Linked DNA regions of Anolis sagrei. The main gene of each other region encodes a partner of the protein of the gene in region 2 in a complex. Links are inferred from orthologs where the notes say so. Each region holds a gene or a part of one and is shown on either strand. Other genes may lie near its edges.

Evidence for each region. The genes of interacting proteins can lie anywhere in the genome.
Region 1: ITPR1 (region 2) and PRKG1 share a complex: the UniProt entries of both Homo sapiens proteins name them as parts of the cGMP kinase signaling complex. The link is inferred for Anolis sagrei from reciprocal best matches to the Homo sapiens genes ITPR1 and PRKG1.

What each region holds. Positions count from the first base shown.
Region 1 is NC_090023.1:181,874,096-181,881,874, reverse strand, and holds the start of PRKG1 (cGMP-dependent protein kinase 1), read left to right. Parts: upstream 1-3,511; 5' UTR 3,512-3,826; coding exon 3,827-4,197; intron 4,198-7,779. UniProt on the Homo sapiens protein: Serine/threonine protein kinase that acts as a key mediator of the nitric oxide (NO)/cGMP signaling pathway. GMP binding activates PRKG1, which phosphorylates serines and threonines on many cellular proteins.
Region 2 is NC_090022.1:45,933,308-45,941,086, reverse strand, and holds the start of ITPR1 (inositol 1,4,5-trisphosphate-gated calcium channel ITPR1), read right to left. Parts: upstream 4,514-7,779; 5' UTR 4,139-4,513; intron 1-4,138. UniProt on the Homo sapiens protein: Inositol 1,4,5-trisphosphate-gated calcium channel that, upon inositol 1,4,5-trisphosphate binding, mediates calcium release from the endoplasmic reticulum (ER).

The DNA of each region.
Region 1 (7,779 bases), on a different chromosome or scaffold from region 2:
CCACATGATAACTCTTCCAATGGCGCTCCATGCAGTCATGCCGGCCACATGACCTTGGAGGTGTCTACAGACAACGCCGGCTCTTCGGCTTAGAAATTGAGATGAACACCATCCCCCAGAGATGACTGGACTTAATGTCAGGGGAAAACCTTTACCTTTAACTAACTCTTCCAAAAGTGAATTTCCCTTCAGAGGGGTAGATTCCTCTCCCTTCTTGTTGTCTCACCCCCGTTCTTAACTATGGACCACTTGTAAGTCTGATGTTTGTAATCCGGAGACTGTCTGTAATGTTCTTGGCATTTTCCTGCAGACCACACTATTAGTTTGGAAAACTCTGCTTCAATCAAGGTAAGGCAGTTTGAACACCACTTTTAAACTGCTATGGTTGATCAATGCTATGAAATCTTAAGTAGTTGTAGTACGGAAAAGGAGGGTAGAGAATGCTCAGAAGAACTTGCAAAAATGACAACACCCAGGCCCCTTCCACATAACCTTATAAAATCCACATTGAGGTAGATTAAATGACAGTGTGGAGCCAGATAGCCCAGTTCAAAGCATGTATTACGGATTATCTGCCTTGATATTCTGGGGGCCTTTCCACACAGCCATATAACTCAGAATATCAAGGCAGAAAATCCATACAGCTGAATAAAATCCCAAATCTTCTGCTTTGAACTGGAATATATGGCAACGTGGACACAGATAATTCAGTTCAAAGCAGACACTGTGAGATTTTCTGTCTTGATATTCTGGGTTATATTGCTGTGTGGAAAGGCCCTGTATTATATAGCTGCGTGGACTCAGATAACCCAATTTAAAGTGGATATTGTGGATTATCTGCCTTGATCTTCTGTTTTATTATATGGCTGTGTGGACTCGGATAACCCAGTTTGAAGCAAATATTATGGGATTATCTGCCTTGATATTCTGGGTTATATGACTGAGAGCCCTTCCACACAGCCATATATCCCAGGATATCAAGGCAGGAAATCCCACAATATCTGCTTTGAACTGGGTTATCTGATTCCACACTGCCATATATTGTGGCAAGTTCTTGGTGATATGGGAATACCAAATCACCTTGTCTGTCTCCTGAGGAATCTGTATAAGGACCAAGTAGCAATAGTAAGAACTGGCCATGGAACAACAGACTGGTTCAAGATTGGGAAAGGCGTACGGCAAGGCTGCATACTCTCACCCAACCTATTCAACTTGTATGCAGAACACATCATGCGACGTGCGGGGCTTGAGGAATGCAAAGCTGGGGTGAAAATTGCTGGAAGAAACATTAACAACCTTAGATATACAGATGACACCACTCTGATGGCCGAAAGCGAGGAGGAGCTGAGTAGCCTTCTAACCAAGGTGAAAGAATAAAGCGCAAAAGCTGGGTGACAGCTAAACATTAAAAAAAAAAACCAAGATTATGGCAACAAGAATGATTGACAACTGGGAAATAGAGGGAGAAAATGTGGAGGCAGCAACAGATTTTGTATTTCTAGGTGCAGATATTACTGCAGACGCAGACTGCAGCCAGGAATCAGAAGACGCTTACTTCTTAGGAGGAGAGCAATGACCAATCTTGATAAAATAGTGAAGAACAGAGACATCACACTGGCAACAAAGATCTGCATAGTTAAAGCAATGGTATTCCCCATTGTCACCCATGGATGTGAGAGCTGGACGATAGGGAAGGCTGAGCAAAAGAAGATAGATGCTTTTGAACTGTGGTGTTGGAGGAAAGTTCTGAGAGTGCCTTGGATCGCAAGAAGATCCAACCAGTCCATACTTCAGGAAATAAAGCCCGACCGCTCATTGGAGAGAAGGATAGTAGAGGCAAAGATGAAGTACTTTGGCCACATCGTGAGAAGAAAGGAAAGCTTGGAGAAGACAATTATGCTGGGGAAAATGGAAGGAAAAGGGAAGAGGGGCCAACAAAGGGCAAGATGGATGGATTGTATCCTTGAAGTGACTGGCTTGACATTGAAGTAGCTGGGGGTGTTGATAGCAGACAGGGAGCTCTGGTGTGGGCTGGTCCATGAGGTCACATAGAGTCGGAAACGACTGAACGAATGAACAACAACAACAACATCTGATTCCACACTAGGATAATGTGGGATTTATTGTCGAAGGCTTTCATGGCTGGAATCACTGGGTTGTTGTAGGTTTTTTCGGGCTATATGGCCATGTTCTAGAGGCATTCTCTCCTGACATTTCGCCTGCATCTATGGCAAGCATCCTCAGAGGTAGTGAGGTCTGTTGGAACTAGGGAAGTGGGTTTATGTATCTGTGGAATGACCAGGGTGGGACAAAGAACTCTTGTCTGTTGGAGCTAGGTGTGAATGTTTCAACTGAGCACCTTGATTAGCATTTGATGGCCTGTCAATGACTGAGGCAATCTTTTGTTGAGAGGTGATTAGATGTCCTTGTTTGTTTCCTCTCTGTTGTTGTGCTGTTCTAATTTTAGAGTTTTTTTTTAATACTGGTAGCCACATTTTGTTCATTTTCATGGTTTCCTCATTTCTGTTGAAATTGTCCACACACTTGTGGATTTCAATGGCTTCTCTGTGTAGTCTGACATGGTGGTTGTGAGAGTGGTCCAGCATTTCTGTGTTCTCAAATAATATGCTGTGTCCAGGTTGTTCATCAGGTGCTCTGCTATGGCTGACTTCTCTGGTTGAAGTAGTCTGCAGTGCCTTGGAGAGTTGGAAGCCTGGACACAGCATATTATTTGAGAACACAGAAATGCTGGACCACGCTAACAACCACCATGTCAGACTACACAGAGAAGCCATTGAAATCCACAAGCACCTGCAGGTGCAACGTCAGGAGAGAATGCCTCTAAAACATGGCCTTATAGCCCGAAAAAACCTACAACAACCTAATGTGGGATTATCTGCCTTGATATCCTGGGATAAAGGGCTGTGTGGAAGGGCCCTGAGTGGAAGGGCCACCAGTTTGTCAATAGCATCGAACTAGGGCACCCATTGGCAGGACCTGTGCTGGACAGCTAATTCTGCAAAGAAGAGGCGCCCATTGGCGGGGCCAGAGTGGTTGAAAGACACCTGTGCTTGACAGCTAACGCACGTTCTGTTGTGTGTATGTTTTTTGGACTGTTTGTGAGGCGCTCAAGCCGACTTCCCGCCAAAAATTAAAGTCTGTCAGAGAAGACTGGGAAGAGGGAAAGAAGCCCCCGCGCCTCCTCTCCCCCTCCCCCCCCCACCGCGAGCGAGCGCGCGCGCGCTTCGAACTCTCCAAGGGTTGATCTCTCTCTCTCCTCTGAGACGGAAGAGAGCGCGTGCTTCGGCGGGAAAACACGCAACACAACAAGCGGCGCGCGCCGTCTTTGGGGGGCCAGGAAGGCGCCCGGAATGCAGCCCTCTCCCTCCTTTTTCTTCTTCTTACGAGGCTGAGTTGTGCGGAGGAAGGAGGAGAAGGGGGGTGGGAGAAAGAGGGGCGGCCGTAACAGCTGAGGAGAAGGAGGAGGAGAAAGAAGAAGAGAGGCGGGGGCGCGGGCGGGATAGCGGAACGGCGGCGGCGGCGGCGGAGGGAGAGAGAAAGCGGCGGCATGCTGCAGACGCCCCTCGCGCTCCCTCCTCACTCTCCGTCTCTCTCCAGTCTGGTGGCCTGACGCAGGCAAGCAGGCGGAGAGGAGGAGGAGGAGGAGGAGGGTGGTGGGCTTCTCCCCAGGATGGGGGCTCCCTTCCCCTAGGAAGCGGCGAGTAGCAGCAACAGTCCAACAGGCAAAGTTGGCGCGAAGTGGGACGAGGCGGAGGGGGAGAGGTGGCTCCGTCGGCGGCGGCGGCGTTGGCGGCTCCCTTCGAGGATGGGGACGCTGCGGGATTTGCAGTACGCCTTGCAAGAGAAGATCGAGGAGCTCCGCCAGCGGGACGCGCTCATCGACGAGCTGGAGCTGGAGCTGGACCAGAAGGACGAGCTCATCCAGCGGCTCCAGAACGAGCTGGACAAGTACCGCTCCGTGATCCGGCCGGCCACCCAGCAGGCGCACCAGGGGGCCGCTGGAGCCCTGCCCGGGGGAGGAGGAGGAGGCGGTGGGGGTGGAGGAGGAGGAGGAGGAAGCGGAGGAGGAGGGGGCGAGCAGCGGACCAAGCGGCAGGCCATCTCCGCCGAGCCCACCGCCTTCGACCTCCAGGACCTCAGCCACGTCACCCTGCCCTTCTACCCCAAGAGCCCGCAGTAAGCACCCACCGCCTCGAGGGGTCCCTGTCTCTGTCTCTGTGTGTCTCTCTCTGTGTCTGTGTCTTGTCTGGCTTCCCCCCCATCTCTCCTTCCTCTACAATCACTTTGCGCCCACATTCCCCAGAGCCACCTTCAGGCGCACACAGCTGGATCTACACTGCCCTGTATACCAGGATCTCATCCCAAAGTATATGCTTTGGACGGGATTATATGAGTCTACACAGCCAGATAATCTGAAGTCAGATCCTGAGATATAGTGCAGTGCCCTTTTGCAGTCCCACACATAGGGAGATCTACACTGCCCTATATCTCAGTATATGCTTTGGACTGGATTATATGAGTCTACACAGCCAGATAATCTGAAGTCAGATCCTGAGATATAGTGCAGTGCCCTTTTGCAGTCCCACACATAGGGAGATCTACACTGCCCTATATCTCAGTATATGCTTTGGACTGGATTATATGAGTCTTTAAAGCCAGATAATCTGAAGTCAAATCCTGAGATATAGTGCAGTGCTCTTTGCAGTCCCACTCATAGGGAGACTCGGGGGTCCCTTGATTTACAAAGGATTCCTTACAATATTTTACAATCAAAACTATTCCATAGAAGGAACTCTTGGCTACCCTTCCCTTCTCTCTCTCTACACACACACACACACACAGTGAGGCTGGATCTACACTGCCCTATATCCCAGGATCTGATCCCAAAGTATATGCTTTGGACGGGATTATATGAGTCTACACAGCCAGACAGAGGCGGCCCTAGGTAATTTTCAACGGTAAGCAAACAGTATTTTGGCGCCCCCCCCCCCCAACCAAGCATTGATATATATTTTCTGTTTGTCATGGGAGTTCAGCGTGCCATATTTGGTTCAATCCCATCATTGGTGGAGTTCAGAATGCTCTTTGATTGTAGGTGAACTATACATCCCAGTAACTACACTTGCTGCACTTGCTCCCTTGCCTGGCCCGCTTTGGGTCCGGAGGCGTGCCTGAAGACCCCAGCGTGTGCACCAAAAGTCACCTCTTCTCCTGACTTTCTCCTCAGCCATTGGGACCAAGAGAGAGAGAGAGAGAGAGAGAGAGGTGGAGATGCCCACCTTTCCTGAAAGTAGGCGCAAAAACAAAGGAGGAAGCAGAGGTGGGAGATACCTCCAGCCGGAGGGGCTCTCTCTCTCTCTCTCTCTCTCTCTCTCTTGGTCCCAATGGCTAAAGAGAAAGTCAGGAGAAGAGGCAACTTTTGGTGCACATGCTGGGGTCTTCAGACACGCCTCCGGACCCAAAGCGGGCCAGGTGCGGCGGCTCCCCCCCTTGGCCCACCCACGGATTGGGGAGAGGAGAGGAGGCGAGTGGAGCGCTGGGGGATCGGGAAAGGGAGCCGGTCATGGGGAAGGGATCGAACGCGGAGAATGATTGAGCGCCGGCGCTGCTCATGCATCCGGTAGCCGGGTGGAGCAGGAACGAGCAGGGCGAGGCGAGGGTCAAGGGCCCGGCCCCTTTGGGATGAGGATCTCCCAGCAGTGAGGCAAGAAAGCCGAGGCTCCCCCCGGACTGCTATGGCTGTTGTGAGCTGAGGGGGTGCTCCTCAAGTGGTGGTCGAGGGGCATTTACAGAGGTGCCTCGGCGCCCCTGGCAAAAAAAAGTGTTCTGCGACCGCTTACTTCGCGTAATGGATGAGCCGCCCCTGCAGCCAGATAATCTGAAGTCAGATCCTGAGATATAGTGCAGTGCCCTTTTGCAGTCCCACACATAGGGAGATCTACTGCCCTATATCTCAGTATATGCTTTGAACTGGATTATATGAGTCTACACAGCCAGATAATCTGAAGTCAGATCTTGAGATATAGTCCAGTGCGCTTTTGCAGTCCCACGCATAGGGAGACTTGGGGGTACCTTGATTTACAAAGGATTCCTTACAATATTTTACAAACAAAACTATTCCATAGAAGGAACTCTTGGCCACCCCTCTCCTCCTCTCTCTCTCTCTCTCTCTCTCTACACAGAGTGAGGCTGGATCTACACTGCCCTATATTCCAGGATCTGATCCCAAAGTATATGCTTTGGACAGGATTATGTGAGTCTACACAGTCAGATAATCTGAAGTCAGATCCTGAGATATAGTCCAGTGTGCCCTTTTGCAGTGCCACACATAGGGAGACTTGAGGGTACCTTGATTTACAAAGGATTCCTTACAATATTTTGCAAAAAACAAAACAAAACAAAAAACTATTCCTTAGAGCAGTGGTTCTCAACCTGGGGTCCCCAGATGTTTTTGGCCTACAACTCCCAGAAATCTCAGCCAGTTTACCAGCTATTAGGATTTCTGGGAGTTGAAGGCCAAAAACATCTGGGGACCCCAGGTTGAGAACCACTGCCTTAGAAGGACCTTTTAGCCAATTTTAGTATTTTACAAAAAAAAAAACCCCTTATTTTTAGAAGGAAGTCTTAGCCATCCCCCCCCCCCCCCCTCTACACACAAAATGAGGCTGGATCTACACTGTCCTATATCCCAGGATCTGATCCCAACGTATATGCTTTGGGCCAGGTTATATGAGTCTACACAGCCAAATAATCTGAAGTCAAATCCTGAGATATAGTGCAGTGCTCTTTTGCAGTCCCACTCATAGGGAGACTTGGGGGTACCTTGATTTACAAAGAATTCCTTACAAGATTTTACAAACAAAACTATTCCATAGAAGGAACTCTTGGCCACCCTTCCCCCCTCTCTCTACACACGCACAGAGAGAGGCTGGAGCTACACTGCCCTATATCCCGGGATCTTATGCCAGAGTATTTGCTTTGGACTTGGTTATATGAGTCTATGCTCCCAGATAATCTGGGATCAGATCCTGGGATATAGGGCAGTGTCCTCTCTCTTGGCCCTTTTGTAGTCCCACACATAGGGTGACTTGGGGTACCTTGACTTACAAAAGATTCCTTACAATATTTTATAAACATTCCTTAGAAGGAACTCTTGGACACCTCTTTGTATGTATGTGTATATATATAAATACACACAACCAAACAAACACACACACACAGTGAGGCTGGATCTACACTGCGTTATATTCCAGGATATGGTCCCAGAGTATATGCTTAGAACTGGGTTATATGAGTCTAAATGCCTCCTGGTGGCGCAGTGGGTTAAACCACTGAGCTGCTGAACTTGCTGACCGAAAGGTTGGTGGTTTGAATCCTCGGGATGGGGTGAGCTCCTGCTGTTAGCCCCAGCCTCTGCCAACCTAGCAGTTTGAAAATATGCAAATGTGACTAGATCAATAGATAACAGCACTCCGTGCAGTCATGCTGGCCACATGACCTTGGAGGCGTCTACGGACAATGCTGGCTCTTTGGCTTAGAAATGGGGATGAGCATTACCCCCAGAGTCGGATGTGACTAGACAAAGTCTGGGGAAGCCTTTACCTTATAGGAGTCTACACTGTCAGATAATCTTGGAACGGATCCTGGGATGAAGGGCAGTATGGAAGTGGCTTCTCTCTTTCCTTTTGCAGGACACTAAGGGTATCTTGCCTTACAAAAGATTCTTTACAGTATTTTACAAAAAATATCCCTTAGAAG
Region 2 (7,779 bases):
TGTCAGTACTATGCTGCCTACACATAAAAATAATCTCTCTCTCTCTCTCTTACTCTCTCACATATATATATATATACACACACACACACACACACACACACACATACACATATACATAGACACACACACACACATATATATTCTCCAGGCCACACCATTTCCTCGTAGAGAAATTATAAAACCTTTAATGCACATTAAACTCTACAGAAACAAGACTTAATCTCATCCCCTCACACAGAGGGAAAGTAAAGCTATAATAACACAAATTCCTTGTCCTGTTGCATGAAAAAACACTTCTTACTTCACCTCTTCCTTTGTTCACATGGTTAACATGCAAAGGGAGAGAAAACAAAGAGCTCTCTTTTCTCTCTTATATAATGGTGTACCTCTCCTTCGGACCCTTCCAAGAGTCATCTCTATAACCTCCACAAGATATTCATGTACATAGTTTGCTTTTGCGAAAGCACTATAGACACCCTTTATTTTGTCCTTCATAAGGAAGTTTTGGAACAGTGTTTCCCACATGTTGATCTTCCAGGTGCTTTGGCTGCATCTATGCTGTAAATATAACGCAGTTTGACACCACTTTGTCTTCCATGGCTCAATACTATGGAATCCTAGGAGGTGATACAATGGCTTCAAACTACAGGAAAGGAGATTCCACCTGAACATTAGAACTTCCTAACTGTGAGAGGTGTTCAGCAGTGGAACTCTCTGCCCTGGACTGTGTTGAAGGCTCCTTCTTTAGAGGTTTTTAAAGAGGCTGGATGGTCATCTGTCAGGGATGCTTCAAATGCTATTTTCCTGCTTCTTGGCAGGGGGGTTGGACTGAATGGCCCATGAGGTCTCTTCCAACTCTATGATTCTATGAATTGTTGGAATTGTGGTCTTAGAAGCCCCTTTAGCCTTCTCTGCCAAAAAGTGCCTGCTATTAAAACTCCCATGATTCCATAACATTTGAGCCATAGCAGTTAAAATGGTGTCAAACTGTATTATTTCTACAGTGTAGAGATGCACCCTTCCACTTCCCATATTCTTTAGAGGACCAGAGCTTGAGAATCATTACTCTGGCAGATTAAAAAAAAATGTCACCCCTTTCATCATATTAACTCTGATCTCCTAAATCCCTCAACTCAATCCATCAACTCAATTTCAAAGGGAGTTTTAAAAATATGTAATTCATTTTCTGGTAACTACTTTTCGCTTGCATCAACACTGTAGAACCAATGCAGTTTGGCACCTCTTTTAACTGTGGTGGCTCAATACCACAGAATCCTGGGACTTGTATTTTTCACAAATGGTTTAGTTTGGTGTCTCATCAAACTCAAATTCCCAGGACTCCATAGCATTGATCCTTAGCAGTTCAAGTGGAGCAGAAATGCATTAATTCTCCAATGTAGATAAGGCATGGGCCAACTTGGGCCCTCCAGGTGTTTTGGACTTCAACTCCCACCATTCCTAACAGCCTCAGTCCCTTTGCTTTTCCCTCTCAGCCACTTAAGTATGCTAGAATGTTGAGGCTGGCCAATAAAAAACCATATGCAAATGAGTAGGTCGAGATAGCTCATGCATGGGCCAACTTGGGCCCTCCTGGTGTTTTGGACTTCAACTCCCACCATTCCTAACAGCCTCAGGCCCCTTCCTTTTCCTGCTCAGCCACTTAAGAAAGTTAGAATGTTGAGGATCGCCAATCAGAAACCATATGCAAATTAGTAGATTGAGATAGCTCATGAATGGGCCAACTTGGGCCCTCCAGGTGTTTTGGACTCCAACTCCCACCATTCCTAACAGCCTCAGGCCCCTTCCTTTTGCTGCTCAGCCACTTAAGCCTGTTAGAATGTTGAAACTGGCTAATCAGAAACCATATGCAAATGAGTAGGTCGAGATAGCTCATGCATGGGCCAACTTGGGCCTTCCAGGTGTTTTGGACTCCAACTCCCCCCATTCCTCACAGCCTCAGGCCCCTTCCTTTCCCCCCTCAGCCACTTAAGTATGCTAGAATGTTGAGGCTGGCCAGTCAGAAAGCATATGCAAATGAGTATGTCAAAATAGCACATGCATGGGCCAACTTGGGAATTGTGGAAGCTGAAGTCCAAAACACCTGGAGGGCCCAAGTTAACCCATGCCTGGTGTAGATGCACCCTGAGCCACCCTTCCACAGGCATCCTTTTTCCACACTGGCCGGAGCCAAGGGGCTGTCTGCTTTCTCCGGCTCCATTTGAAACAAAAGCAATTGAGTTAATAACTTTGAAATGCCTGTCGCGGCCCCAGATGTCAAAAGTTTGCTGCCAAGGAACGCAACCTGGCAAGAAAGCAAACCCTGGCGCTGTTGCTCCTGCTTAAGATGTCAAGGGAAACCCAAGGGAAGAGGGGATGTCTCTGTAACCAGACTATTCAGACCTACCTGTTGGGCAGAACCATCTGTGGCTTAATCCCTTTTTTGACTTTCCCTCTTTCCCCAGAAAAAAAACCCCAACTCACATCCTCCTTAAATGGCTTTTTATAGTTTGCTGCATCAAAGCCATGAAGTTGTTGTTTTTTTGAGCCAGTTAAGGACATCTTTCCCTTCCAAAAATAATGAACAATAACAATCCAAGATCGCCTTTCAAGTCTCCCTGCAGCTACAAATGCTTTCTTGTTAATAATAATAATAATAATAATAATAGATTTAAACTTTATTTATTTATACCCCAGAAGGACCTGGGACAGCTTACAAAGCACTCAAAGGTGCAACACATAAAATACAAAAAAAGATGCAGAAACAGTAACATAAAACAGTAACAGCAAACAAACTGTTGCAAACTTAGGGCGGGGATTGAACAGAGACAGAAAAATAAAGAAAAATCTGTTGCTGCTTTCTTTTCTTTACTTCCAAAATAATAATAAATAAACACCCTACAAATCCTTGCTGCAGAAACAGGCATCTGGGTGATCTGGTAAGAAAGGGAAGGCACACAAACCAATATGGGTTTTTAATGGACACAGCTAGTGCATCTACACTGTAGGATCGATGCAGTTTGACTCCAATTCAACTGCCATGGCTCATTGCTATGGGATCCTGGGAGTTATAGTTTGGAGGGGCAACAAGAATCTTTGGCAAAGGGGGAGAAAGTAAAACTACAACTCCCACGGCAGTATGAAGTGGTGCAGAACTGCATTAATTCAACAGTGTAGATGCACTACCACCACTCAGGATCCGATAATACTACCGGGCCATTGAAGTTAAAGCGACCACAAATTAATTCTACGCTGTGTACATCAGGCATGGGCCAACTTGGGCCCTCCAGGTGTTTTAGACTTCAACTCCCACAATTCCTAACAGCCATAGGCTGTTAGGAATTGTGGGAGTTGAAGTCCAAAACACCTGGAGGATCCAAGTTGGCCCATGCCTGGTGTAGATGCACCCCTTATAACACTATACATCCCAGGATCCCATAGTATAGATACAGCCATGGCACCTAAAGTAGTATTTACTTAACTGTATTCATCCTACAATACAGATGCAAAATTACAAATCCCAGGATTTCACAGCATTGAGCCATGACAGTTCCAACTGGTGTCAAACTGCTCTAATCCACAGTGTAGATGTCCCACAAACCCCAGTTGAACCACAGAAATTAAATTGGTATCAAAGTGCACTAATTCCTCAGTGTAAATGCCCCACAAACCCAGGATCCCATAGTGTTGAACCATAGAAGTTAAAGTGATATCAAAGTGCACTAATCCCACAGTGTAGATGCTCCACAAACACCAGGATTCCGTAGTGTTGAACCATAGAAGTTAAAGTGGTATCAAACTGCACTAATCCCACAGATGCTCCACAAACCCAAAGATCCCATAGTATTGAACCATAGAAGTAAAAGCGGCATAAGACTGCAATAATTCCAGTGTAGATGCTCCACAAACCCCAGGATTCCGTAGTGTTGAACCATATAAGTTAAAGCGGTATCAAACTGCATTTTCCCACAGTGTAGATGCACCACAAACCTCAGGATCCTATAGCATTGAGCCATGACAGTTAAAGCGGTATCAATCTGCGCTAACTCCACAGTGTAGATGCACCATAAGCCAGAGCTACATCCTCTGTGAGGAGAGAAAACACCCCATCCTCATTTCCTCTCCCACCCTATTGCTTTACCTGGTTGCATAAGGGACTCCTCTTAAATCCTGGGGTGACTGATCAGCCTCTTGGTAATCCCATATTCCCCTTTTCGGCCCCTGCCCGGTTCCGCCAGGGATGGAGGTTGCTCAGCCAGCCTCCCTTTGCCTCTGCCAAACACCCTGCTAGCTCAACATCCACATGGTTACTGCACTTCGCCAGCTCCCTGCAGCTGATTATATACTCCCGACAGGCTCCCTGGGCAATGTAGTCCGGGCCGGCCCGCTCCCCCGCCCGCTCTCGCGGATGGAACGCCGCGGGGGGACTACAGCTCCCAGCATGCACCGGGCTCTCAGGGTGGGCTGCTTCAGAGTCTCGGCGAGCGGGGCAGCAGCGTCTCTTCTTCTTCTTCTTCTGCGTGAGTGTGTATCAGATCAAAAGGAATGTTGTCTCTCGAACGCCGAAGTTCTTTCTGGGGCGCTGATTGGCCGAGAGGAGCCTTTTCTCCCTGCCGTCAACCAATCCCCGGCGGGCAAAGGCTCCCCCCTTCTACATTCCAATATTAACATAAATAAATAAATAAAAGGAGTGGAGAAGATCCTCCCTTGCGCCCCCCCCCCCACCTTTTGTTTTATATTCATTCAAAGAGACATTTATTTGGGAGCTTTCTCTCAAGACTTTTTTTATATATAGACTGACAACTCCTCATCCCTCCCCCGCTTCCTTGCACAAGCCAAGAATTTCAACCATCTGTGAGTGTTTGCAGTACGAGGCAGCACACATGAGTAATATGCATCGAAACCCCGTTGTGATTGTGTATCTGTGTGTGTATTTTTAAAAAGGAATGACAACAGAAAGCCAAATCGTTGACCTCAGGGTCGACCAGAGAGAAAAAAAGTGAGAGAATTGTGTAGGAAGTTAGATACAGATACAGCTTGAGGATCCCTCATCTGAAACTTTGGGGACCAGAAGTGTTTGGGATTTTATTCTTGGTTGCTCTATAGGGTTTTCATTATTTTAATTGTTTTGCTTGCTTTAAGTGATTGAATTAAAGATATATAAAGTATGTATATATTGTAGCTCTTAAATTGCTGGATGGTCATCTGTCGGGGGTGCTTTGAATGCAATTTTCCTCTTTCTTGGCAGGAGGTTGGACTGGATGGCCTCTTCCAATTCTATGATTCTATGAGTCTACAATTGCATTGGGTTGCTGTGAGTTTTCTGAGGTGTATGGCCACGTTCCAGAAGCATTCTCTCCTAATGTTTTGCCTACATCTATGGCAGGCAAGCCTGTAGCCGGGGGGGGGGGGGGTAGGGGTTCAAACCCCCCCCCCCCCCGAAAATTTTCAGGTTTAAAAAAAACCTGGTTTGCTCATGAATTTTAACTGGTTAACCAAATCCCCATGCTAAGTCTATGAGATGCAAAAAATTAAGAGTCCCTCCAGAACTGCAAGCACTCTCTCAAGCAAATATCGACAATTTATTCACACTGTCATTACTTGCAGCAATAGCCCATGTAGTGAAGCAACCAAGTTGGGGGGGGGTGATGAAAGCTCTCATCAAGGAGGCCAGACTTGGTGGAGGTGGTTGACAGGGGCGGAGCTGCAGGCTATTGAAGGCTGTTCTGCCCCCCGCTGTGCTCTTGGCTTCAGCATGAGTTGGAGGCAGGTTTCAACCCCCCCCCCCCCAAATTTTCAAAAACCCTCCCTGAAATTTCAACCCTCCCCGAAATTTTTTTTCTGGCTACGGCCCTGATGGCAGGCATCCTCCGAGGTTGTGAAGTCTGCTGGAAATTAGGCAAGTGGGGTTTATATATCTATGGAGTTATTTCTCCCACCCTGGACATTCCACTTGCCTAGTTTCCAAAAAACCTCACAACCTCTGAGGATGCCTGCTGCTATAGATGTGGGTGAAACATCAATAGAGAATGCTTCTAGAACATGGCCATATACCCCGCAAAACTGACAGCAATAGTGATTCTGGCCATGAAAGCCTTCGACAACACATTGCATTGTTTTTAATGTTGCAAACCACTTTGGGTCTCAACCAAGGGTTCATCTACATTGTAGAATTAGTGCAGTTTAACAGCACTTAACCACCATGAATCAATGCTATAGTATCTTGGGATTTGTAGTATGGTAAGTCACAAGCACTATGACAAAGAAGACTAACATTTTGTAAAACTACCACTCCCGTTGATTCCATAGCATTGGGCAGATAAAGTGGTGTCAAACTCAATTCATTCTACGGTGTAGATAAAAGTATTAAATATGATGGATTAGATCACTCTTTGGTTTGATCTAGCTTAGCTCTTCTTATGAGGTATTGGAATAAACACTCCCATCCTGCCAGAAAGGCATGGGAACAATTCTGCGGCCTCTCTATCTTATGCTTGCCAGCAATTGATGTGCAAATACCTAATGCTTTCAATACTGGAACCACTGGTGGATTTCTCATCTGATCTTCCAAGAATCTGTCACTTTTTAAACTCTCTCTGGCAGTGGCTATCTATAACAAATGCTTTTTAAAATATACAGGTTGAATATCCCTCATCTGAAATGCTTGGGACCAGAAATGCTTTGGATATGGGACTTTTTTTTCCCAGATATCTGTATTGGCATATATGCTTATTGGGAGATGTCTTGGAGATGAGGACTCATGTTTAAACATGAAATTTGTTTGTGTTTCATATGCATATGTATAATAACTAAGTAGCAACACTAAGAACAGACCACGAAACAACAGACTGGTTCAAGATTGGGAAAGGAGTACGGCAAGGTTGTATACTCTCACCCACATCATGCAATGTGCAGGGCTTGATGAATCCAAGGCTGGAGTTAAAATTGCTGGAAGAAACATTAACAACCTCAGATATGCAAATGATACCACTTTGATGTCTGAAAGCGAGGAGGAGTTGAGGAGCCTTCTAATCAAGGTGAAAGAAGAAAGTGCAAAAGCTGGGTTGCAGTTAAACATTAAAAAAAACTGAGATTATGACAACCAGACTGATTGGTAACTGGCAAATAGAGGGAGAAAACAAGGAGGCAGTGGCAGACTTGGTATTTCTAGACACAAAGATTATTGCAGACACAGACTTCATCCAGGAAATCAGAAGACACTTACTTCTTGGGAGGAGAGCAATGACCAATCTCTATAAAATAGTTAAGAATAGAGACATCAGACTGGCAACAAAGATCCACATAGTTAAAGCAATAGTATTACCTGTGGTAACTTATGGATGCAAGAGCTGGAGCATAAGGAAGGCTAAGTGAAGGAAGATAGACGCTTTTGAACTGTGGTGCTGGAGGAAAGTTCTGAGAGTGCCTCGGACCGCAAGAAGATCCAACCAGTCCATACATCAGGAAATAAAGCCCGACTACTCATTGGAGGGAAGGATAATAGAGGCAAAAATAAACTACATATTTATTTTTGGCCACATATTGATATTATTGGCCACATATTGATAATACAGGAAAACTTGGAGAAGATAATGATGCTGGGGAAAATGGAAGGAAAGAGAGGCCGACCAAGAGCAAGATGGATGGATGGTATCCTTGCAGTGACTGGCATGTCCTTGAAGCTGGGGGTGGCGACGGTCAACAGGGAGCTCTGGCGTGGGCTGGTCTATGAGGTCATGAATTACAGAATCATAGAGTTGGAAGAGACCTCATGGGCCATCC